Drosophila melanogaster: one gene and its partners. The protein of the gene in region 4 interacts with the protein of the main gene of each other region in a pairwise test. Each region holds a gene or a part of one and is shown on either strand. Other genes may lie near its edges.

Region 1 (4,405 bases), on a different chromosome or scaffold from region 4:
GTAAATCCCCTCTAGCCTAGCGTAGTCTAGCCTGTTCAGTCTCAGCGGCAGCTTCGGGCGATGTTGGCCGGCAGGCGCTAACTGGCCTTGGAATGCCGTCCGCTGGGCCACTGCGTCATAGTCATATTCGATTTGTTTAGGTTTTTGCAGTGCTGGAATTAAACCAAAGCATAATTACGCATAGAAATACATTGAGAGCTCATACAATTCATCCATTAAAGTACGCCTAAGTTTGTGTCTTAAGTCTTTTGTTTAGAGATTTGTATTATTGCGCGCGATGCGATCACTTTCAAAAGATCTTCAAACTAGACCATACGCTCAAAATCACTTAGACCATAAGTTGCATGTAAATAGTGTTAAATTCGGAGCAGCCGCAGCGACCGCAAACCTAGTTTAAGTTGTAGCACGTAGTTAGTTGCCTAAGCGAACGCATAAGTCATTAGTACCATGAACGCGAACATAAACATGAGAATCCAACTTTCAACATAGTCAAATAAGTTTATGTTTAAAAGCTAAGAAGTCAAACATACAATAAATGAAGTAACAAAATACAAATTCAAACTGGTTCTGTTTATTTGCTTGTGGGGGTTTTCTTATATAGATATTATAATATTTATGCTATGGTTCCAAATCACTTTCGTTGGACTCCTCGCATTCGTTGTAGTTCAAATTAGGATTTTTGCGACCCCTGCTCCCATTTAATTGGTAACTCTGGGAACAAGTGTGCTGCTCCAGAAGATATTTGCTCGTAAAGGACATCGAGCAGTGGACACACCGGTTGTGACTCAAAATGTGCTTGGTAAGAAGTTTTTTATTTTGATAGGACTTTTTGCACTGTGTACAGTTGTGCCTCTCGATAACAGTCTTTACTTTCTTGTGAGTGGCGTGGTGCATTTGATAATTGTCTTCTATGCTAAATTTTTTCGGGCATTTGGGACAAGGGAATATTTGTCCAGGAGACTTACTCCGGAGAAATTGTACGCAAACCTGCGAACTGATGTGTTCTTTAAGACCGTTTCTTTTTTGAAAAGTTTGCTGGCACTTTATGCACTTGAACGGACCTTTCGTCGTGTGACTTTTCTTGAAGTGAAAATCTAGATAATTCTGACTTTCGAAAAACTTGGAACACTTGTGGCACTTGAAACGAGTGTGAGCACAATCGTGACTCTTTAGGTTACTTTCTTCTTGAAAGGACATCAGGCAGAGGGGACATTTGAACGTTCGTTCCCCCGCGTGGATTTTTACGTGGTCTTTAAGGCTGGACACGTCTGAGAATACATCTGCACACTGCGCGCACTTGTGCGATGACTTCCGAGACAGTCTCTGAGAGACATCCTCATGTGTCTGAATGTGAATTTCAAGAAAGCTGGAGTAAAGGAACAGTTTTGGACAGTGAGGGCACCTGTACGGAGGCTCCAACTCTGATTCTCTTTCATCAGAGGCCCTATGAATCCACATATGGGCTTCAAGACATCCGCGTTTCATATATATACTTGGACACATGGGACATTTCAGCCGTGGAGGCTCGGTGGTACGCGTTTCATTATGAGTCCGAATGTGAGCTTGAAGTTTGGCGGCGAGTAAGAATATCTTTGGGCACTGAGGGCATCTGTGAGGTGGCTTCCCAGTAACTTCATAATCAACTGGCTTGTTTTTTACTGGAATTGAATCTATGTCAATGATCTCCTCTTTAGGTTGTCGGTACATCTGGATAGTATTTTCTTTAGACTCTAAATCATCGAATGCATTTTTCACAACATCCAGACAAGTTACACAGATATATTCAGAAAATGAATCGCCTTTCTCAACTGGCATTCCTGTGTACTGAGAGAGTATCGTGGCAATCGGAATTCCGTACTGATGCGCGTCATCAAATATATTGGTTAAGTTGTCAGACTGTTCCAAGCAAACGCGACAGCTTCCGATTGCTGGCTCTTCCAGACATTCTGTTATTATAAAGTATTCTCCCTGCAAGTCCTCCCCTTCAATAGCCTCCTCCTTAATTACGGGGAGCTCCTCCTCAGCGACGGAATCCTGTATGATGATCACGTCGTTATTTGCGGGATGATCCTCAAGAATTACCTCCTCAGCGAAGGAATCCTGTATGAGGATCACGTCGTTATTTGCGCGATGATTCTCATGAACCTCTACGTCTACTATGTTGCTCGCTCCTATGATCTCCTCATTATGTATGTGGTTTTCCTCGATAACCTTCTTCTTAATTAGAGCGTCCTCCTCCTTAACTACCAGTTGCACTTCTGGATATAAAGGATGCTCCGGCAGGCCGTCTTCGCCGTTTATGGACATTTCTAAGTGAACCTTGTCGTTAATTTGGGTTTCGGGCCTTGGTCCCTTATGCTTGGTGCCAAATGTGTCCATATGCAGGCACTGCAGGCAAAGGGTTTTCGGAAGCGAGCCACCGCGTTTGACCGACAAGCCCGGTCGTACCTTGCAGCACTGACACACGTTCTCCATCGCCCTGGAATCATTTAATCGTATAAAACGTTGGTTAAAATGATTTTTGTGGCTTACCTAGTCGTTTGTTTACAATTTTCAGGGCTATCAACAACGGGCAACCCTGTTTTCAGCGTATTGTTATCGAGCGCTTATCGATATCAAACGCTGTAATCGACTGTTATAACTAAAATATACCCTTTACGAAACAAATTTTACAAATTCATGTATGTACGTATTTACTTTATCTTTGCAATAAATACCAGGTGCTTTCCATAGCAAACAAAAACAAACGTTTTCCATTTTGTTTAACAGAAGCCAGACATTTAATAAAAAATATTTAAAATAGGCGGATGGATTGCGAATAATACAAAATCGAATGTTCCATAGCTGTCTTAAAACATACCAACCATATAAACCGGATAGACCTAATAAATTAAGCAACTAATCATTAACCGATATTGTCAAACTAAAGCTAACTTAGTGGAATGATTTCTCAAGATGTAGCCGTATATTAACTAGGGGAAGCGCTTTTTCAGTAGGTTTTCCAGCTTTCTGATGCCCGTCTGGGAACTTCCATCGGCATTTTTATCTGCGCTTCCCGTAAAGCTGCCCACGCTGAAGATAAAGGCTCGTTTGGGGGTTGAGGAAGTTGCCGTTGTTGTTTCAGTTGGTACTGCTGAGGTTTCAGCATCGTCTGTGGTCCCCGAAGTTGCGACTACTGTTTCTGCACCTTGGGTCTCCTCCTCTCCAGTAGTTGGCTCTATTAAGCCACTCACAGCCGCTGCAGATGCCGTGTGCTTGAAAAGATCAATCAGTTGCAGTTGATCCACACGTTTGACCGCCTTCATATCCAGAATCTTTTGGTACTCCGCAATGGTAATGTCTGGCAGCAGCTTAAGCACTTGCTGAGTGAAGTGCGCCGGCGGCTGTACCGGCGTCATCACCACCTTGATGATCATCTCGGCCCGAGTCATGTCCTTGACCACAACTTTGGTGTAACTGGTGGGCGCCTTGCGGTTCACACTCGATCCCACGGAAGGTAGCTCTAATAAAGCCGTCTTTAGCGAATGGGTGTCCAACAAGAGTTGCTCGCAGCCCAGAACATTGTTGGAACCATCCGAGAGGGTTAGTTTGCAGCGATAGAGCACATTGATGAACTTCGGTATGAAGGCGGCGACGAAGCGATGGCAGAACTGGGTGAAATACTTCCGCGAACTGGCTAGCGTGTCCCTGATGGTAGGCACTGTCTGCTTAAAGTTACCGCACAGGCTGCTGATGAAGGCGCTCTGGTCGCCCACGTTGTTAATGTGTTGCCACTGCACCTTGGCCATCGCCTGCAGCGAAGCTTCGCAGCCAGCCTCTAGATCTTGGACCAAAAGTTGGATGCAGTTGGAAATGATTCTAGAAAAGTTACAAATATTAATAAACTATTTGATTATTTGATAGCAAAAATTTTTACTCACCTATGAAAGACATCCTTTTCCTCGCTCATGTCAATCTTGCTGACATATGCAGAAGTCACCTTTTCCTTCAGTTTATCCTCCAGCTGTTGGACCGTCTCCAAACAGTACTCACCCGTGGTCAGAACGCAACAAATGCGCACCAGATCATCTCTTGCAAATCGCTGCGTATCGCCCTCTTTGAGGAAATTGTGAAACACCTGACCAGCGGCCGTTGATAGATTCTGCATATCGCGCGTGAGTAACGAAACACTTTTACCGATCGAGCTGCTAGTGGTGGCTGGCACAAGCTTGGGTGTGCTGCCCTCGAGCACTTTGGAGGCGTACTCCCGTAGATATTTTTTAAACACCAAAGCCAGATCGTACATTGGTTGTTCGTTGCTTAGCTGGTTGCACTGCACCATGCACTTCTTGTAAAAGACGAATAGATCACCAGAGCTGGGGTACACGGTGGTCTTGGCCTCGGCGAACTTGTATGGTTCCCGAGA
Region 2 (5,284 bases), on a different chromosome or scaffold from region 4:
TGGCTATCCGGGAAATAGCAGCCGCGAGAGACGTTTGCATGGCCGCTCCGCAACGCAGCCTGCTACGGCGACACTCGGCTCAGCTGCACTGCCTCATCGGGCTCTACTCCATGTCCACCAACCTCTTTGAGCATGCGGAGAGGCAGTTCGTCGTGTGCGTGAGTGAGACCAGCGAGCGAGACCTGAAACTGTTTGCCAACCTCAACCTGGCGATCATTTATCTGCGCACCAAGCGGGACACGGACCTCAAGCAAATCCTGGATGCCGTCTCAACGGAAAACACGCACACGTATAGCAGTCAAGCGCTGATGGGAGGCTTCTACTACGTCCAGGGACTGCATGCTTTTCACAAAAATAGCTTCCACGAGGCGAAGTTAGTCACCTTAAGCCAAGACTCTAGAATGTAAACTGATAATCTTTATTCTTTTCAGACGCTTTCTGCGTGAAACTCTGAAAATGGCCAACGCCGAAGACCTCAACCGACTGACCAGCTGCTCGTTGGTTTTGCTATCGCACGTCTTTCTCAGCATCGGAAACTCAAAGGAAAGCATGAACATGGTGACGCCGGCCATGCAACTGGCCAGTAAGATACCCGACATCCACGTCCAGCTGTGGGGATCGGCAATACTAAAGGACCTGCATCGTATGTCAAAGGATGTGCAGCATGAAAAAGATGCTTATGCTAACCACGTTAAATACTCGGAGAACCTGATTGCAGACCAGCGCAAGTGCGTCCAAAGTGCGCATCACGAACTCGTCAACTGGTTCCAGGGCGATCCGCCAGTGACGAGTGGTCCGCCGGCTGCTCCCGTCCTGCTCATGCCAGAGTCCTCCGTTACAGCCTCAGTCCCCGTCATCGCCTCCACATCGACAGCCATGCAGCCGGCGGGGCAATACGGTCAGTTCTACTAGCAATGAGATGATTATGCAATGTAACTTTAAGCTTTTATTTTTATCTACGACCTAGCGACTAAGTTAAGACTAAAGATGTTCTAAAGTTGTGAATTTTGTCATAAACTGTGTTCCCGAGGGAAAGAGTAGACGGAAATGTAAAGCGGATGAGTTGTGCGCATTTGAGTTGGGTCGTTCAACTTAGGATTATAATCATTATTACAATTAAAAGTAAGGATCCGTCTTGGGTATTAGGCAAACTCAACCACCTTTACAAAAGCCGCCTTGCTTGCACAGCTTCTACATTGATTTATAGCATAAGCGCAGACTCGGTCATCTCGTTAAGTTCCTCTTCAAGGGCCCCGCTTCCGTTTTCCTTGTTGCTTAGAAATGTGAAGTGCACCAGGCGTTTGTCGTGCTGCTCGTGGCCGGCCAGATGTGATCGCATCTCGGGCATCGACTTGAACTCCTCATTGCACACCGGACAAATGTAGATCCGCTCGCCCTGATGTGTACGCTGGTGCATCTGGCAGTCACCCCGCTGCGTAAAGGTCTTCGAGCAGAAGGGACAGACGTACGGCCGCTCACCTGTGTGCGTCCTTCGGTGGTTCTTTAGCACATTGAGGGCAGTGAATCTCATGGGGCAGAGATCGCAGGCGTATGGCCGTTCGCCAGTGTGCTTTCGTTTGTGCTTGGCCAGGGAGCAACTAGTGGTGAATCTGGCCAAGCACACCTCACACTCGAAGGGCTTGTCGCCGGTGTGGGTGCGTGCATGAGAGGTGAGTTCCGCCTTGGTAACAAACGAGTGCGGGCACAGCTCGCACTTGAAACTCTTTGTCTCCGAGTGACGCAGCTTGTGCTGGCGCAGATTGGCATTCTGTGTAAAGCTCTTGCCACAGATATTGCACACAAAGGGTTTCTCGCCGGTGTGGATGCGCATGTGGTCACGCAGCGTGGACAGCATGGTGAATACTACAATATTAAGAGACAATTAAATAGGATTTTCGACCACTCTTTGTTATCTTACCTTTCTGACAGATATTGCACTGATTCCGCAGATTCCGCTTGTGGCCCTGCACCATGTGCTTGCTAAGTGCCTCCTTGGAATCACAGCGTATTCCACACTCCGGGCAATTGTGGGCACCATGACTGGCCTGGTGTTCCGCCAAGTGATCCGGCGACACGAAGACCTTTTCGCACTCATTGCACTTGTAGTTGCGATTAATGCAGCCCTTTTGGCGTCTGTGGATCATCAACGATTTCTCCACCGCGAATCCCGCATTGCAACGATCACAGTGATATTTGAGCTCAGGGGTAGTAGCTGCTCCTGACGTTGTGCTTGGCCCGTTTACTGTTCCCGCTCTTGGCGCGCTGAGTTTTCGCTGTGTTCCTAACCGATGCTGTTTGGGGGAAGGCTCTGCATCTGACGGCGGTGTAGCCGGTACATCCTGCTTGACAACTCCGCGACGCCGTGAGGTGCGCTTAGCCGACTGAGGTACTTGTTCCTTCTCTAATTCGCGTGCTTCCTCCTTAGAACCCACAGGAGTCTGATGCTTATCGTTTTCCTGCTGCGTTAGAAGCTTGGCAGCGCTCTTTCTGGTGGTTACCTGCGGAGCGGTTACTGTGATGATCTCCGCCTCGTTATCGACACCTTCGAAGATGGCCAGGTTACATTCCCTGATCTGCTGTTCCAGCTCGTGGTCGTCGCCTTCGTAAATAACATTGGTTTGGGTAAACACAACTTCCTTTTCGTCCTTCAAGTTCCCCTGGACCTGCAGGATGAGGCTGGTGGTCTTTTCGACGGGCTCATCCGGCAGCTCGTAATCGAATACCTCGCCCTCGCCTTCGTAGTCCAGGTCCACTGAAATCGTTGACTTAATCAGGCTGGTATTCTGTTCGGCGTCTGTGGTAGTCACTGCGTCCGTTTGCACGGAGGCTGTGCATCTGTCCGGCTCCCAGCTAGTGGTCTGCACAGCCTGGTCCGTCGTGGCCACTGGACAACTGATAGACACCTTGCTATCGGGCTCCTCCGGCAACGCATTCGGCAGCAATTGGCGCAGGGTGCGACTGGAGTTCTCGCACTTGATCTTGAAGGTATAGCAATTGGAGATTTCACTCAAACAGCTTAGGCACACCTTCTCGGGCAGATTATCGTTGCGGCGGGGCTTGAAAACGCGAATTAAATCGAGATTAACATGGAAATCAGGATCACTCGGCGAAGGCAACTCACCTTGGTTTTTGTGAACTCCCGGATCATGTCCGCCAGGCAGCTGCCGGATCCGCCGTCGTAGATGGACAGGAGTGGTCCCGTGGAACTCAGGCAGGTAAGACAGATCTTGTCCACATCCATTTCGCGACGCAATCGGTCAAATGCAGAAACAAAATAAAACAATTAAATAAATGCAGTATGGCTGAAGTTTGTTACGCTGAATATACCGATGCATTTCAAGTGCACCTGGTCACACCTTTAATGCTGTTGGCGGCCTTCGCGCAATTCAAAAAATAATTCTAATGAGTAAAGAAGAGTATTAAATAATCTAATTTTATGGCGATAAGTGCATTGAAATAAAATTATTTCAAATGTGAATCGTATATATACAAGAATCTGGGCTTATTCTTGTTTCATCTAATTTTTTTACTTATTAACAACAAATAATTCTTTTCCCAATCGATATTGAGTTATATTAAATTGTGATCACGAGAGTTCGGCTCATCTCTATAGATTAGAATTGTTTCGACAAAAGATAAGCTCTTTTGACCATAATCAGAAAAACACAGGTTATAAAGATTTCCCACTATGTCGAAATCCGGAGAGTTTACATTCCGGCGTGCTCTAGCTGAAGATATTAAAGATGTGCTCTCCATGATTCAAGTTGAGTTTTATAAGATTCCTATTTTAATACCAATTTGAGATACTTTTGAATTGATCTGCAGGAACTGGCTGACTTTGAGAAGATGAGCAATGGTCCCCAGCTAACAGAGGAAGGTAAGAGATGGCGAAACCCTTACCATAGTAATGAAATAATGGTAAAGTAATGGATTGTAATATGACAGATCTTAAACGAGACGCAGGACTCACTGGTGGCCAGGAGTATTGTGAAGTCTATGTGCTTGTAGACAACGATACTGAGTAAGTGCTGTAGTTCTTGGCATGACCTGATTAACTTGTGGGCTTGTTCTCCTATTCTAGTCAGGCGATTGGGTACTCCATTTGCTACAAGGCATACTCAACGTGGCAGGGACGGTACTTCTTCGTCGAGGACATCTATGTCCGCCCCGAGCACCGTAAACGCGGCGCCGGAAAGCGAATCTTCTTGGAGGTTGCATCGCGGGCTGTAGAGCTTCAGTGCCCTCGCCTGGAGTTTAATGTACTGGAATGGAATCCTGCACGCAAGTTCTACGAAAGTCTTGGTGCCGTGGATTTGACAGATAAAGAGGGCTGGCACTACTACCGCGTGGAGGAGCAACAACTGGCCAAATTGGCCGCGGATCTGAGGGCAAAAAAATCTTAACTTGATTTGATTTTCAATTTTTACTACTTTATAGTAGGGCGATAAATAATTAATAATACTTGGCCATGGGCCATATGTGCTATGAGTACATTGCAATTAATTCGTTTGGCTTCTCATTGATCCCCCGCCACACTTGCGATGACATGGATCTGCATGCTCTTCGTGGAGTTGTAGACTTGACCGGGCGGAAAGGGATGCACCTTGGAGTGGCCATCGGTTTTACTTTTGCCACCGGCAGTATACTTGGATAATCGAATGCTGGGCATTGGTAGAAAGCCGGTGCTCAGCGGCATTACATCCAGCGATATGGAATGACTGTCGACGTCCTTCATGGATACGACACCTAAAAGGTTAAGTAAAAATTAGTTAGTCAACAAGTACAGACTGTTGGTTCATCGAAGTAAGCCAATTTTCTTTTTCAGTGTTAAATGTTTCCAATCAAAAGCAAGGGCAAATCTAGTTAGTGCTACGTGTGTCCTATTCCAAGGAACTTACCCATATCTTAAAATGCAAAAGTGAATCGTGTGTAGAGAAACAGAATTAAATCATAAGCAAAGAAAGAGAGAGAGTAGTAAAGAGAATCCAACTTACCCGCTGAGCGACCGCAAACGGCCCACAGATTCTGATCGTTGAGCACCTCGTACATGAGATCCGTGTAGGGATTCTCATGCACCTTGGTGATCTTCAAGTTCATGTTGCACACGGTGCGCAGACGGCACAGTTCATTGGGTTCCAGCTGCGCCTGCAACTTAAAGAGCGTTGTGTAGTCCACCAGATCAAAAGCGCAGCCATACGTTCTCCACACATCAGGCTGCGACAGTGATGCGTATTTGATTACAAAATGCACTTTTACGACGGGCAGCTCGTGCTCCGTTTTGAGG
Region 3 (5,931 bases), on a different chromosome or scaffold from region 4:
TTTCTATCGATTTCCCAAAAAACTTTTTGCCACGGCCACTCTAACGCCCTTCAGCCGCCCAAAAATGCTTTGTCGCCCGTTATCAACGTGGTAGCTAGTGGTTTGCTTAGGACCTCTCGTGTTTAGAAGCATTCTCGGCAGAGAACCAGTAGTAGCGCTGGCCTTTTTGTGGGCGTACTCTAGGTGCTCTCGGAACGTGGTATCAGGAGAAGCACTAACTAACTATTGATCTAAAGATACACATTATTTTAACGTTCCAGGAAGATAGGTCTTGCGTGATAATCCACACGAACGACATGAATGAAATCATATGATGCTGCAAAGTATATGTCATAGTTTTAATACTGCGTTGGTGATGCGTCGGTGATTAAGGATTCGACGTCAAATTAGTTTGGGCAGCTTGTAGAGTTGGTGCCTTAGAGGTAGGTTCTGTTAGCCTCGAATTATGGACGTTTGGAAATATCAAATTTTGGAAGGTGGTCGAAGGGCCAAATAAGGACCTCTTTGCGGGTGATAAAAAAACTTCTGGCGTTCTGGCGTTACTCGGAGATGTATCCGGCTTTTGGGGTCTTTGTATATTGAACAGCCTTTATATGGTCAGAAGCGCTTTCTTCCACCTGTTACATACTTTTCAACGAACCTATTGTAGTATTCCCTTTTACTCTACGAGTAACGGGTATAAAAAATATAAGGCCCAAAGGGTTTTCTGTAGCACCTACCGTTTAGTTACACAATTCATAAAAAAAACCAAATCGATTTTCAAATTCATAATTTTTTTGTATAAGAATCATACGAAAAAACGGTAAAAATTTTATTATGTCCTTCGTACCCGTTTATTTTTATTTTACTTAATAAGATTTTAATTTTCTGATTATGTTAACAATTGGTATGCACAACTTATTAATCATACAATTAGCTCAAAAATCAAAATTATCAAAAGAAATTCCTTCCATTCCTTCCTATTTAGCATATTTCTGTGGAGTTTTTGCTTAAATCACAATCATCGACAAATTCAACGTGCGTGAAGGGAAAATGACCATTTTTTCCATTTAATTCTCCCTCCCATTGCCCATTAATGTTTGTTTTAGTGACTTTAATAATGTCACCTATTTCCAATTTTAATGCAGTCTTATCGTATGCGTTAGGGACCCTTGACTGTTTTACGCGGGCGTATGCAGGTAGTTTTCGCTTCGATAAATTAAAATGTAAAACATTATTTTTTTTTTAAATACTTTTTTGGAACACTTACATTTAAATCTGTCCTTTTAAGAGTACTTTCAAATACATTGCTAGATCCCGAAATGGAAGGTTCGTTTTTATCAATAGCATCTTCATCCATATAATCGTCATACTGAAAAGAACAAATTTGAAAATGATTTAACTTTTAAAAATCAATGCCTTTAACAAACTTATTTATCAAAGGTCGTTCGCAATTTGGCCTTCTCTATTTAAGCGGACGAATATATTGAAGGCAATGGAGCTTGTCCATTGTCAGTTTAATTCAATGCAAATGGTTTTTGTAATGGATTTTATAATGTATTGAGATTGTAGTCAGACTTTAAAGAATCTAATCGCAACAATTTAAGGGTATTATTACATGAACTCAATAATTATTTCTGAACAAGTTTCTCGGCTATCAGATACCCGCTAGTCATAAAATAGGCGTGGGGAAAAGAGCTCAATTTACATTTTTTACATACATACATATATTTTTACATATTTACTTCTGGCGACTCTTTGACATTATTGACCCTTATACGTCTCACTAGTTTTCGGGTTTCTTTCTGATTTTACATTATTAATATCCTAGCGTTAGTGTCGCCGTATCGAAAGTTTTATTTGCATTCCATAAAAATTGACGCGACTGGTTTTACCGAATTCACCATTCATTTCAAGTGTAGTATTTTAACATCAGCGTTATAAGGAAACAAAGAAATTAAAAACGGGTTACCCGTTACAAAAAAGGATAACAAATCCAAATATTTGCTTAACGCACCTGTTGTATATAGGGAACCGGTATTTGACCAATTTTCCCCGAGGAGTTACGCGCAGTCCACCATTGATCCTCGTCTTTTCGAACTATTGTTAAAACTTCACCTCTTTGAAAAGGTAAATCATCTTGATCCTTTGATAAATAAGAAAATTAAATTACTTACAAAAATGAATAATTGTGTAAATGCTCACGCTGCCAACGAAATCGAACTTTCCTATTACTTTTTCCACCCTTCTACACGCAGGCCGTTTTAAAGGGGTTGTATCCAAATAATGAAGAGTGTAAAAAGTTAAGAGTTTCGGTAGATTGTCAAAAGACTGATCCCCAATGCGGTAAACGATTTGATCCTGTTGTTGAACTTTGTTAATGATGTAGTTGCTAACTTTTGTATCTTCTCTAAATAATAAAAATCTTTATAAGTAAACAATTCTTTTATAACAGGCGCAAAATCCTTAAAAACTAAACAAAAATTTGTTTCAAGTTTAAATATGAAAACCTATTTTTAATATTCTAATGTATATACATTTATATTAATAAAGAACTTTTAAAATCAAAAAGAATATTCTTGAGACGTTTATTCATCTAATTCTTTAATAAATGCCGCGTGGCGAGACATACAGTAGAAATTGAGTTCCTTTAATTCGTAATTATTTTTGTTTACGTCGTTAAATTCTTCAATTTATTTACCCCGTCAATACATGGCGCACATATTAAAAACATACTAAATTGCAATGGCTATGAGAGATCATCATTGACATTTTATCATCGTCCTTAAAGGTACATTCCATACTAAATTAAAGAAATACAAAATTGACCATAGACCCTTGCCATTGGATCTAAATATCAAACAAAACAAGAGAGAACCCGTTACTCAGCTAGTTGAATGGGAAAGAGAAATTTCAAAAATTTTCTGGGAAAGAAATAATAAAACAAACACAATTTTTAAGGTTTCCCAAAACTGAAACACACAAAATTGATAAAAATTTTTAGATTTCTCTTTCTTATTACTTTTTTCACCCAGGTCTATTAAAAAGAATATCCTTTTTTAATGTAAGAAATTTGTTTATATTTAAAAATTACAGATAAATGTTTAAAGTACATCTATAAAACACGTATACATGCTTAAAATGGAAACAGGAATTTCTATATAAACCTTTATGGTAAGCTGCGATTAAGAAAGGCTGACATTAAGTATTTCTCACTATACACAATTTTTAGTTTAATTTTTAAAATAAAAATTAGCTAACAGAAATGAAACGATAAGTACACAATCAAAGTCTGAATGTATTAATTTTGTTTACTTACCTTACACAAAGTACATAATCCCCTGCTATCGAGTTACTATCACGGACTAAAAACACTCCCCGCTCGCGTTCGTTCATCAAAACTTCAGTAGCATCCTGTCTAGACATGGGACCAAAGTACCAGCTTTAAGAACACATTTTGATGTTAAAACAATTGATAGTTTTTGGTTTAATCTTCACTTGATCTTAAATTACCTGTTCCTATCAGAAACGTCAAATGTATCCATTTCCGTTTAAGGTTTATCTTAGACAAATTACAACAAATTCCGTCCAGATTAAATAAATAGAAATTATGTGATATAATGCAAATATAGCATACAGCCTATTATATACCAGAATTCTTCAGTGATTTCATTTTCGAATTTCTGGCCTTAAAACATTTGCCTTTTATATGTGTATCTGGCTGGGCCACACATAGAAACACTATCGATAATGTTTGATCGATTATTTCCACTTGGAAGTTTTATGCCAATATTGTACCGTAGAACCGTAATGCGGCACTTGCACAGGGCACATTCGATTGAAAAGAACTCCTTCGAGCAACTGCTCTGTGGTGGTAAACCCCTTTAGGACGTACTGTCAGCTTTTAAAATCTAAATGTAAAACCGTGATCAATGCATATCAATTTGATATTCTAATTTTTAAGTAAAACCGATATATTTGTTCTTCTGTTCAATTCAAGGATATTTACAGGAATATTAGGAATACGAATATATCTGGTTGACATGTTATTTTGACTCCACAACTGATCAGCTGTCAATCGTAGAAAATCCGCATATGTTGCTAAGATCGGCAGCTAAATAAGATTTGGAGCAATCCGATCAATCCGCTGTGGAGGGAGCCCACCCTGGGATTGCTAAAGATTCCGAATTGTCTGCACTGGTTTCTTAACCAGTGATTCTACCTGTCCCGATTAGTTTACCACCACAAGGGAACATTGAGTCCGGACTCCCGGCACAAGTTGGCACTTCAGAAATACAATCTGCAGGGCCAAAACCACTCGCGGTGATTCCACTTAAGAAACAAACTTTCGTTTCTCGGTTTTCACCTGATCAAAAATCATCTGATGTATGGTCTTATATGCAAGACAAAACAAAAGTCGATAATATAAAAGTAATATAAAAGTGGAAAAATTTAACTTATCTTACGCTATGGACATAAGATATATAAGATTTTGAAGCTAGGATCAAAAATAGGAAAAAGGGGCCCGTGGGAAATAAACTTTCCTCACATGGCCAGACCACTGCACCATCCGCCTCTTCATCTTCTTCAAAAAACTGACAACGAATCTTTGTCCGAATCTTTTTCCTATCAAAATGCTAGAGGTTTGCGTAGCATACTAATCAAATTATATTGTAATAGCCATTCCTTTGCATGCTCAAGATATGACCAAAGCAAAGACACTAGAATAATTCTAGTGTCTATGATATGACTTTTGCAATAAACAGTTTACATATTTTTTTTATTTTTATATATTTTTGTTTTCTACTTCGTATTATTTTTATGAAATATTTATTTCTCAATGTAATGTCTTCTTTTTGGAAAATGTATGTTTTAAATTAAAGTTGTTATAATAATTTCCGTATATATTTAGTATATTTCTCAAGTCATTTGACTTAATATGATGTATGTAAAATTTTTGTTATTTAAAATGCACATTAGATTTAGTTGTTTTTCAGTTCCAGTTTTTTTTTTTTTTTTTTTTTTTGTTATATTTCAATTTGATATTTTTAACAGCGCGCAATTTCATCAAATATGTAAACTCGTTTCTTCGGTCAGAATTGATTTCGGCCCGAAATCGTCTTCTAGAACAACACGCACACATATACGCGTTCTCGTCTCTTGTTTTTACTTACTCAAGCAAGCAAGTTCTATTTTAAGATTTCTTACGCTCTCAGCGTAAGCTAGCGGACAGAGAGCAATTTTGGCCGTCACCAAAAAAGTGGCTGCATAGTGCCAAACCAAAGACACTAGAATAACAAGATGCGTAACGGCCATACATTGGTTTGGCACTATGCAGCCACTTTTTTGGTGACGGCCAAAATTACTCTCTTTCGGCTCACTCCCGCTGAGAGCGTAAGAAATCTAAAAATATAATTTGCTTGCTTGTGTGAGTAAAAACAAGAGACGAGAACGCGTATAAGTGTGCGTGTTGTGCTAGAAGACGATTTTCGGGCCGAAATCAATTCTGATCGAAGAAACGAATTTACATGGTACATATTAGGGTAGTTTTTGCCAATTTCCTAGCAATATGATAAAATAAAAAAATTTTTAAAAATTCGCGCCCTGAATATTATAATTTTAAAGCTTTTTAAATTTGTTTGTTAAAATCGCCGCTCGAATTAGCTACCGTTTACACATTTATATTTATGTTTAATTCTAATTTGTCTCTCATCTGACAATTTTTTAAAAGCGAAATATTTTTTTTGAAACACTTTTAATGTTAATGTTACATCATATTAAGTCAAATGATTTAATAAATATACTAAATAATTAAATATGCAATTAAATTAAATTGCAAAAGTAATATCAAAGACAATAGAATTATTCTAGTGTCTTTGCTTTGTTCATATCTTGAGGCACGAAGTGCGGACACAAGCACTCAACAATTGCCTTATTAATTTTTCACACACC
Region 4 (7,203 bases):
GCAAATATTTTTTCTTATAAGTAGCATGTAAAAACACTCGATACGCTAACCGACAAAAAGGCAAACGCTATAATGTAGGACACTCCAAAACGTAGTTAACAAACACGATTTAAAACCATATAAAACACACCCTATACCCTCTAAAAAAAAATCGATGGCAAATGCTTAACGCAAAAATATGATATACGAGTTATTGTATGTGTACGGGAAAATTTGCTAAATGTTGTAAAAAGTATATATTACTCGATTATAATGTAGCACTCGAAATGGAGTCACTCCAATCATGTAGAAATCCTCATCCAGTAAAGGCACGCAACAAAGTTCCCTAATACTTTACACATAATTTGGTTTCCTTGACCCGCAAGCTAAATTAAACATGAAGTGTTTAACTGTATATATGTAATGTATTAACCACATTAATCGGATATACTAACTTAAAACGAAACTGAGACCCAAAACATACACGTGTAGTGGTAAATGGGCCGGCAAGAATTGTAAATTACCAAATGCAATCCTTTCTCCAGGACGAAGTGAAGCTGCATAATTTACATGGAAATCGTAAAGACACACTAACCATTGTATTAACTAAACTAAACCACACTAAATAAAACCGCATTAGACTTACTAAATATTATTATAACGTAACTAAAAAAAAAAAAGAAAGAAATATGGAAGAAGAGAAACCGTAAACAAATGCTTTCAAACTAAATAAAGTTCTTTGGAATTACAATGCAAAAAAAAAAAACCAAAAAGATAAGAAAAAAACACTAGTGTTATTAATTGTGGGTCGTGGTAATATCCCCTCGTTATATACCTTCTTATCCCAAAAATAAGACTCTTAGACGGTTTATCTTTCTGGCTTAAATCAAGCTTTCATATATTCAATATAGAAAGAAATTCAATCTTAATTCGTTTTTATGGCTCAACTTTTACAAAATCTACCCATCTCCAGGTGGGTAATATCAAATTTCTGATAAGCTTACATGTCTAAATGGGGAGCTGCTTCAGCTCTTACAATTGGCTTAGAAATTAAATTGGTTCTGCTTCAGTCTTACACAAAGTTATGAAATGCCTTTGATGTATGTATGTGTATGTACGAAAATAAAGGGAACTGCTTCACATGAAATGGAAAATAAACGCTGTGCCCGAAAATACTGATAACTAATCCTTGTTGCCGTAAATACTGTAGCTCTTCTCCACGAAGATCTGGATGGAACGCTTCACGTTCTGCTTGTGGGGCTCGGGCAGCTGTTCCAATTTGGGTAGGATTTTCATTAGGAAGCGGAAGTCGGGCGATAGATTTATGTTCGTCTCGATCTCATCCGAATTCATTGTCAGTTCCGAATTCTCGGACTTTAGGATCTTGGTATTCTGAATTGGCAGTGGCATCTGAATGGATGAAGGCACTGAGCTTGGTGTGGACGTGATCTTTGCAAAATTAGTTGGATTCTTTTTGGGCGGCAATGTTATATGTGGTCTGGGATTGTTAACCACCGGCTTGGCTTTAGTCACCACTGGAGCTGGTTTGATCTGCTTCTGTTCTTTGTCCTGTATGCGATTCAATAGCTCGGGCAGTAGTTTCTCCAAATGCTGGGTAAGATTGGTCTGCGGCTTGTCGGCCATAATCATTAGTTTCTTGCCCGCCACATCTTTATCCTGCTCCACAACCACGAACATCTTACGCTTCTTGGGCTGTCCATTTGTCTCCAGAGTCTGACCTTTCGTCTCATCCGATTTTTCGGTGATCACGTACAGTTTCCTCTTCTTGGCTTGACCGTTCTCCAAGCGGTTCAGTCCATTCTGGGAATCCTCTAAGGCTGATAGTGGTAACGAGGCTTCGTAGTCGGAGTTTATGGACAGCACATCGCTGGAGGCCGAGGAGCTAATGGAGTGGGAACGCTGTGGCATGGGCATAATGCCGGTGTTGGGCTTCTTGGCCTGATGTCTATTGGGGCTCTGCAAAAAAATGCGGTTCATTAAAATACATTTATAGTGGTATATATTTATATATGCATACAAGCAGTTTTAACCATATCTTTAAAATATGAAATTTAAAGAGAAAGAACGTTGAAGGGTTCTCTGAAATTTTAAAAGTTCAGGATCTGTCGCTATTCGTTATAAAAAATTAAACTTTTACGGAATAAATAGCTTTGTACGTATTTTTTTAAGACATGCTTGTATTGTTGTTAAACTAACTCTAATAGCATGCCCGTTTTTGGAATACCATTTAATGCTCAAATACCTATACGATTTATTTCAATTGGTTAATAAACAACGAAAATTGCGTTACGGAGTCTAAAACATAATTTCTGTCTGAACTGAAATTTAGCTTGGGTCAATTACCAACCCCTATGAAAGCTGAACTTTTGTTTTCTTTTGTGCTGCCACTCACCTCAACAAGTTCAATGGTGGTGCTGCTGGCCACCGCCGACTTGACAGCACCGCTCCCAGTTCCTGCACCTCCTCCTCCTGCTAAGGCGCCTGCAATGACCGACCCTCCAGCGGCATTAATGGGTAGCACAATGCCCTTGGAGGACGAGGACTTGCGCAGCGGCGTCATCTTGATGCGGGTTTTGGCCATCTCCTGGCGTTGGCTAAAGTGTCTGGAGCAGATGCGCAGCTTTTGGAGGCCGCCGAGTTGATCCACCAGTTTATAGCTGACGCCAAAGTGACGCAGCCAATGATTGCAGCTGCACGTAAATAAGAAAAATAAGATATAACGACTACTATTACTAACCACCGAAAGCTTAGTTCAGTACGCTTCTTTTGGAGGGGGAAAAAGCTTTTCACACATTTTCCATGTTAACGCAAAATGGAAAACATACCAATTATTGGGAGAACAAGAGTCCACGAGCTAGTTGCGATCGGTTGCGCAGTTCTTTGTTTAATGATTAAACTGACAAAATGAAACTGCATTGGAGTTTCGTTCTGGTTCTTGCGACGCTTTCAAATTAGATCCGACTTTCGCTCTCCGCTCTCTTTATCGCTCTCTCTTGGAAAAGTTCTTGAAAAAGTTTTCGCTGCAATTAAGCTCTTTTTATGCTTCTTTTGCGAGTGCGAACGAGAAGCAACGCTTTCGTACGCTCCTTCTCGCTCAGCGGAAGTTTCGCGGGGAATTGTTATTGTTTGTTGTTGCTGTTGCTTTTGCTGCAGCTTCTGCTCAACTTCCCCCTATTTTTGTTGTTTCTGCCGATTTGTGGAAGATGGGGGAATGAGGCTTATTTTCTTTTTGCCTTATGCTTATGGCTAGGCGAAACAACAACAACAATTAAGGCCTTTAGGGTGGACCGAATGCGAAATTATTGTGCAGGTCAGGGACAGCAAAATCATTTGCCTACTCATACCATATTTAATCTGACTTACTAGCCAAGTTTTAAATAAATTTTAATCGCTTGAAACCATTTTCATAAGAATGGTTTATGCTTAACTTACAAAACCAACGTACAACTGTGTGAAATTAAAATTATTGTCATAATTCACTTTAAAATTTCATACTATATCTTGAAAATTTTTAAACGGAACTCAATGACTACAGTTAGATAACCAACTATTATAATTAAACTTAGCAAACGTCATTCTTATTTCGATTTTGCTTATAAAAGTGACTTTCACTTTTTTGGTCTCAAAGTACATTTAGTGATAATACCGACGAAAGGTAAAATATGAGCTTTCCTTGATAATAAATAAAGCTTAACATTCTGGGGTTTCCTCGGAAAGAGGAAGAATTCGCTTAACAGTGGTCCACTCTAAACTCCATGGCCAATGCCAAGTAACTTTGGCAGACGGAACTCTATTTTTTTTTTTTGCGCACCAACTGCAGAAACTGGAGATGAAGAAGCAGCAAAGAAACACAAAATAACTTCACTTCACGGCCAGCAGAGCAGAGCCCCACGCGCATTTGTTGCATTTACAGGAGAGCGTGAGAGCTATAAATAAATGGGAGTCGGAATCTGGGACCTATCCCCCGCCCACCCACTGCCCCGCCCACATCGGCATTATTGCATTTCTGATTGCTGCACTGCACAAGTTCTTAGCCGCCATGGCATTGAAATATTCCTATGAAAATGATGCACTTTTATGCGAACCGAGAAAAAAACAGAGAGACAGAGACAGAGAAAGAGAGGGAGGGCGAAAGTTCAATGACCTTTGACTGCGAGTATCGGTATCGGTATCAGACGAAGAAGAGGAGCACCGAGCGGGGTCCAAAGCTTTGGATTGTTATGGCTTTAATGGTATGGTGTTTAAAATATAGAATGAGCACTTGTGATTCGCAACAAAAACAAGCTTCGGTGATCGAATCGATCGGAAAGCTCTCCGTAGGCTCTAAAAACAGGTTTAATGTGGTTCTTGGCAGGAGGAACCTACATATGTATGTATGTATGTGTATAATACTCACCGATCGGTATCGTGGACTGGAAAACGACGCAGATCATTGGGCTTTACATCCTGGCAACCCATCAGACAAATCCTGGAGGAAGGTGGCAATACTGGTTCCGGCCCATTCGCGCTAGGATTTAGCGACACAGCCTGGCAAATCCGAAGAGTGGTTATCGTATTCGTCATCTATCAAATATTATTTTAAAATTGGATAAAATCACTCATTTTAATTTAAGGTTATTGCTTCTTTTATCATTTTATTAATAAGCTCTAGTTTAGAAAACCATTAAAATAAGTACATACATATATCTTATTTATTTTCTTATTTTCTTTCTTGGAATAAAAGAAAACCTAGAGTGACCCCAAGAACTTTCGCTCTGGCGAATAAAAGCTTGCTTTGCTGCACGTAGAAAAGCACCAATAAGATGCACATCCACGGAAAAGCTTTTTTGGATAACTTGTGCTTGCCTTTCAAAGCCGCGTGGTCTTACCTTTTACAAAATACTTTGAAATTAAATATAAACATATGTACCCCACATCGCCATTATTTACCTATGCTTATCTTAGGAAAACAGATACATATGTACATAATGAACTCACCTGTCACACAAAGTCTCCTTTTCTCTGACCGGCAGTTCTGAGTTTAATAACCCCACGGCAAGAACTCTAGGTGAAAGCTTTCGGTTACGGAACTTTGAATACAATTGGCGCCGGTTTAAGCGATCGCAGCTAGATACGATTAAATGAAAAGGGCATCTATCTTCTAATTAGCGGTATGCTATGCGGCTCCGATTACGATTCTGTTACGTTCTGCATTCTATACTGCGCTACGTCACTCGTGGGAGCAGACTGTCGAAAGCTCCGCCTGCGTCACGCGAAGGCACCGCGCGAAGCTCGGTTTGGAGAGCGTCTCTCCAGCTTTGTCGAGCTTTGTGCCCATGCGTGCGAGATCTTCGCCGGAAAGCTCTGACAAATTCGGAATCAGGCTGAGATTTCAATCGCGCACAGTAAAAACTACCATTGAAGGACATTAAAAAATAGGTATTTCTTTTATGATTTATTATTTTAATGAGTCATATTTAAAATAATAGTGTTTTAAAGAATAAAGTACTGCGCAATGAATATGTATCAAATCGAAGAAAATAATACTTCAACTACTACTTAATAATATGATGTCTGCGCACCTTTCAATTACGCACCTTGTAGTTGATTGTATATAATATATTAATTGTACATTGCAATACTTAAATACCACTTAACTCTAGTTTTATATGCTTTTCGAGAAATTAGCATTTAGATAGCATTTTTGCTTATCAATTATCAATTTGTAGTGTCATAAATTTGCAACATAGCTAAGCCGCCAACTTTTCCATCCCATAATTAATTAAAAGTGTTAAAAGCTTTCCATAAATAAAGATACCAACAGCTGCAGGTGTTGCTTTGGGGCGTGCGTTCAAATGATTTTTGTACATTAATTACGGCCGCACAATTCGCGATTGGCAGCCTTCATTTGGATATTTAAAAGCCAATCAATTGGCGGTTCGACGAAGTCATAAATTTCAATGGGCGCTCATCAGACGAAGGAGGCAAGCCCCTCGAAAAAAAACAGGGGCGTCGAGCCGCAGATAAGCATCCACTTGTCACATCACTCATATTTCCAAGACGTCAATTTGCATTGTCTGTGGAAATTGCAGCCTGCAGCTTGCAGCTTCTTGCTGTCACATGCCAATTGACCCATTCGCCTGTTATGGCCAGGCCAGCCTCAATTTCTCAAGTGCTAAAGCAAATAAAACTTTAATGGCTAGTTTTACACTAGCCAAATTGTCAATTGTCGTGGCCAGTTGATTGCGTTTTACGACCGACAAACAGCAGCATAATTACGGATGGACCTGCACTGTTTTTTCCCAAGAACAATTGTGAAAACACAAACTACTGAGTGGGCCGCATTCGAAAACGCGCTCAGTCAGCATTTTAATTTCTGTCTGATTGAGCCGAATGACTCGAGCTGGCGATGAATGTAGAAGTAGAAGTGTTTGCAGGCGATGCCAGACGGCGATAATTCCCAAGGGGGCCAGGCTTGATCATCGCCTGTGTGGTCTCGCTGTATCTGTCGGTCTGCCCGACAGCCGGGGGCAATCGTTAACTGGCAGCCGATTATGTGATTGGAATATTGACAATTAGGCGGTTACAAATTGATTTACTTGTAATTTTTCTGGCGCCCCTGAGAGGGAAGCTGGCTCGTTAAAGCAATCTAATGTATGCTCCAAACAAATGGTGATCATTGTGAGGGGCAAAAAAAGTTTTAGTTGGAAAAATTAATCGTTTTGCTGAATGAAATTGGACAAAAAATCTTTGTCAGAAGTGGGATTCGAACCCACGCCTACAGAGTAGACTGCGACCTGAACGCAGCGCCTTAGACCACTCGGCCATCCTGACTCTCAAGAGCCGTAAGATCAAATTTTCTTTTGGTTGGGGACCACATACTGAAACGGTTCATTCTCAAAACTGAAAAGAAGTGTGTGTTTAGCACAAGTAAAAATAGTTTAATTGGTATTAGAAAAAAATTGTGGAAAATAGAATAAAAGAGTATTGTCAGAAGTGGGATTCGAACCCACGCCTACAGAGTAGACTGCGACCTGAACGCAGCGCCTTAGACCACTCGGCCATCCTGACTGTTAAACTAACGAGTGCCAATTTCCAGTTTGGTCAAGAGAGAGTATATTCTTGATTTAATAATTGTAAAATACTTTGGATTTTAGAAATTTTTATTTTTGTAGCTCAAAAAATAAAACGAAAAAATGGCAAAAAGTTCTTGTCAGAAGTGGG

Evidence for each region.
Region 1: the proteins of bip1 (region 4) and CG17612 interact in a two-hybrid assay, tested with the Drosophila melanogaster proteins (one large-scale study listed by BioGRID).
Region 2: the proteins of bip1 (region 4) and CG6654 interact in a two-hybrid assay, tested with the Drosophila melanogaster proteins (one large-scale study listed by BioGRID).
Region 3: the proteins of bip1 (region 4) and Crk interact in a two-hybrid assay, tested with the Drosophila melanogaster proteins (one large-scale study listed by BioGRID).

What each region holds. Positions count from the first base shown.
Region 1 is NT_033779.5:4,380,165-4,384,569, forward strand, and holds CG17612 (uncharacterized protein), read right to left. Parts: upstream 2,572-4,405; 5' UTR 2,533-2,571; intron 2,498-2,532; exon of another isoform or gene 2,480-2,497; 5' UTR 2,476-2,479; coding exon 619-2,475; 3' UTR 558-618; downstream 1-557. Other genes in the region: Vps53 (vacuolar protein sorting 53), read right to left, coding at 2,973-3,858, 3,921-4,405.
Region 2 is NT_033777.3:15,210,345-15,215,628, forward strand, and holds CG6654 (uncharacterized protein), read right to left. Parts: upstream 3,315-5,284; 5' UTR 3,242-3,314; coding exon 3,122-3,241; intron 3,057-3,121; coding exon 1,919-3,056; intron 1,864-1,918; coding exon 1,202-1,863; 3' UTR 933-1,201; downstream 1-932. Other genes in the region: Mau2 sister chromatid cohesion factor, read left to right, coding at 1-373, 432-912; CG4210 (uncharacterized protein), read left to right, coding at 3,689-3,763, 3,826-3,877, 3,946-4,021, 4,082-4,403; SIDL (shal interactor of Di-Leucine motif), read right to left, coding at 4,517-4,746, 4,995-5,284.
Region 3 is NC_004353.4:208,048-213,978, reverse strand, and holds Crk (Crk oncogene), read right to left. Parts: upstream 3,756-5,931; 5' UTR 3,617-3,755; exon of another isoform or gene 3,542-3,616; 5' UTR 3,525-3,541; coding exon 3,493-3,524; intron 3,422-3,492; coding exon 3,299-3,421; intron 2,390-3,298; coding exon 2,185-2,389; intron 2,126-2,184; coding exon 1,997-2,125; intron 1,865-1,996; coding exon of another isoform or gene 1,799-1,864; exon of another isoform or gene 1,705-1,798; intron 1,352-1,704; coding exon 1,250-1,351; intron 1,189-1,249; coding exon 964-1,188; 3' UTR 814-963; downstream 1-813. UniProt on the Drosophila melanogaster protein: Adapter protein which interacts with C-terminal portion of mbc, homolog of human DOCK180. May play a role in cellular processes throughout development.
Region 4 is NT_037436.4:8,053,484-8,060,686, forward strand, and holds bip1 (bip1), read right to left. Parts: upstream 5,231-7,203; 5' UTR 4,978-5,230; intron 4,611-4,977; exon of another isoform or gene 4,564-4,610; coding exon 4,397-4,563; exon of another isoform or gene 4,018-4,396; intron 2,893-4,017; exon of another isoform or gene 2,826-2,892; intron 2,726-2,825; exon of another isoform or gene 2,691-2,725; coding exon 2,393-2,690; exon of another isoform or gene 2,318-2,392; intron 1,957-2,317; coding exon 1,162-1,956; 3' UTR 850-1,161; downstream 1-849.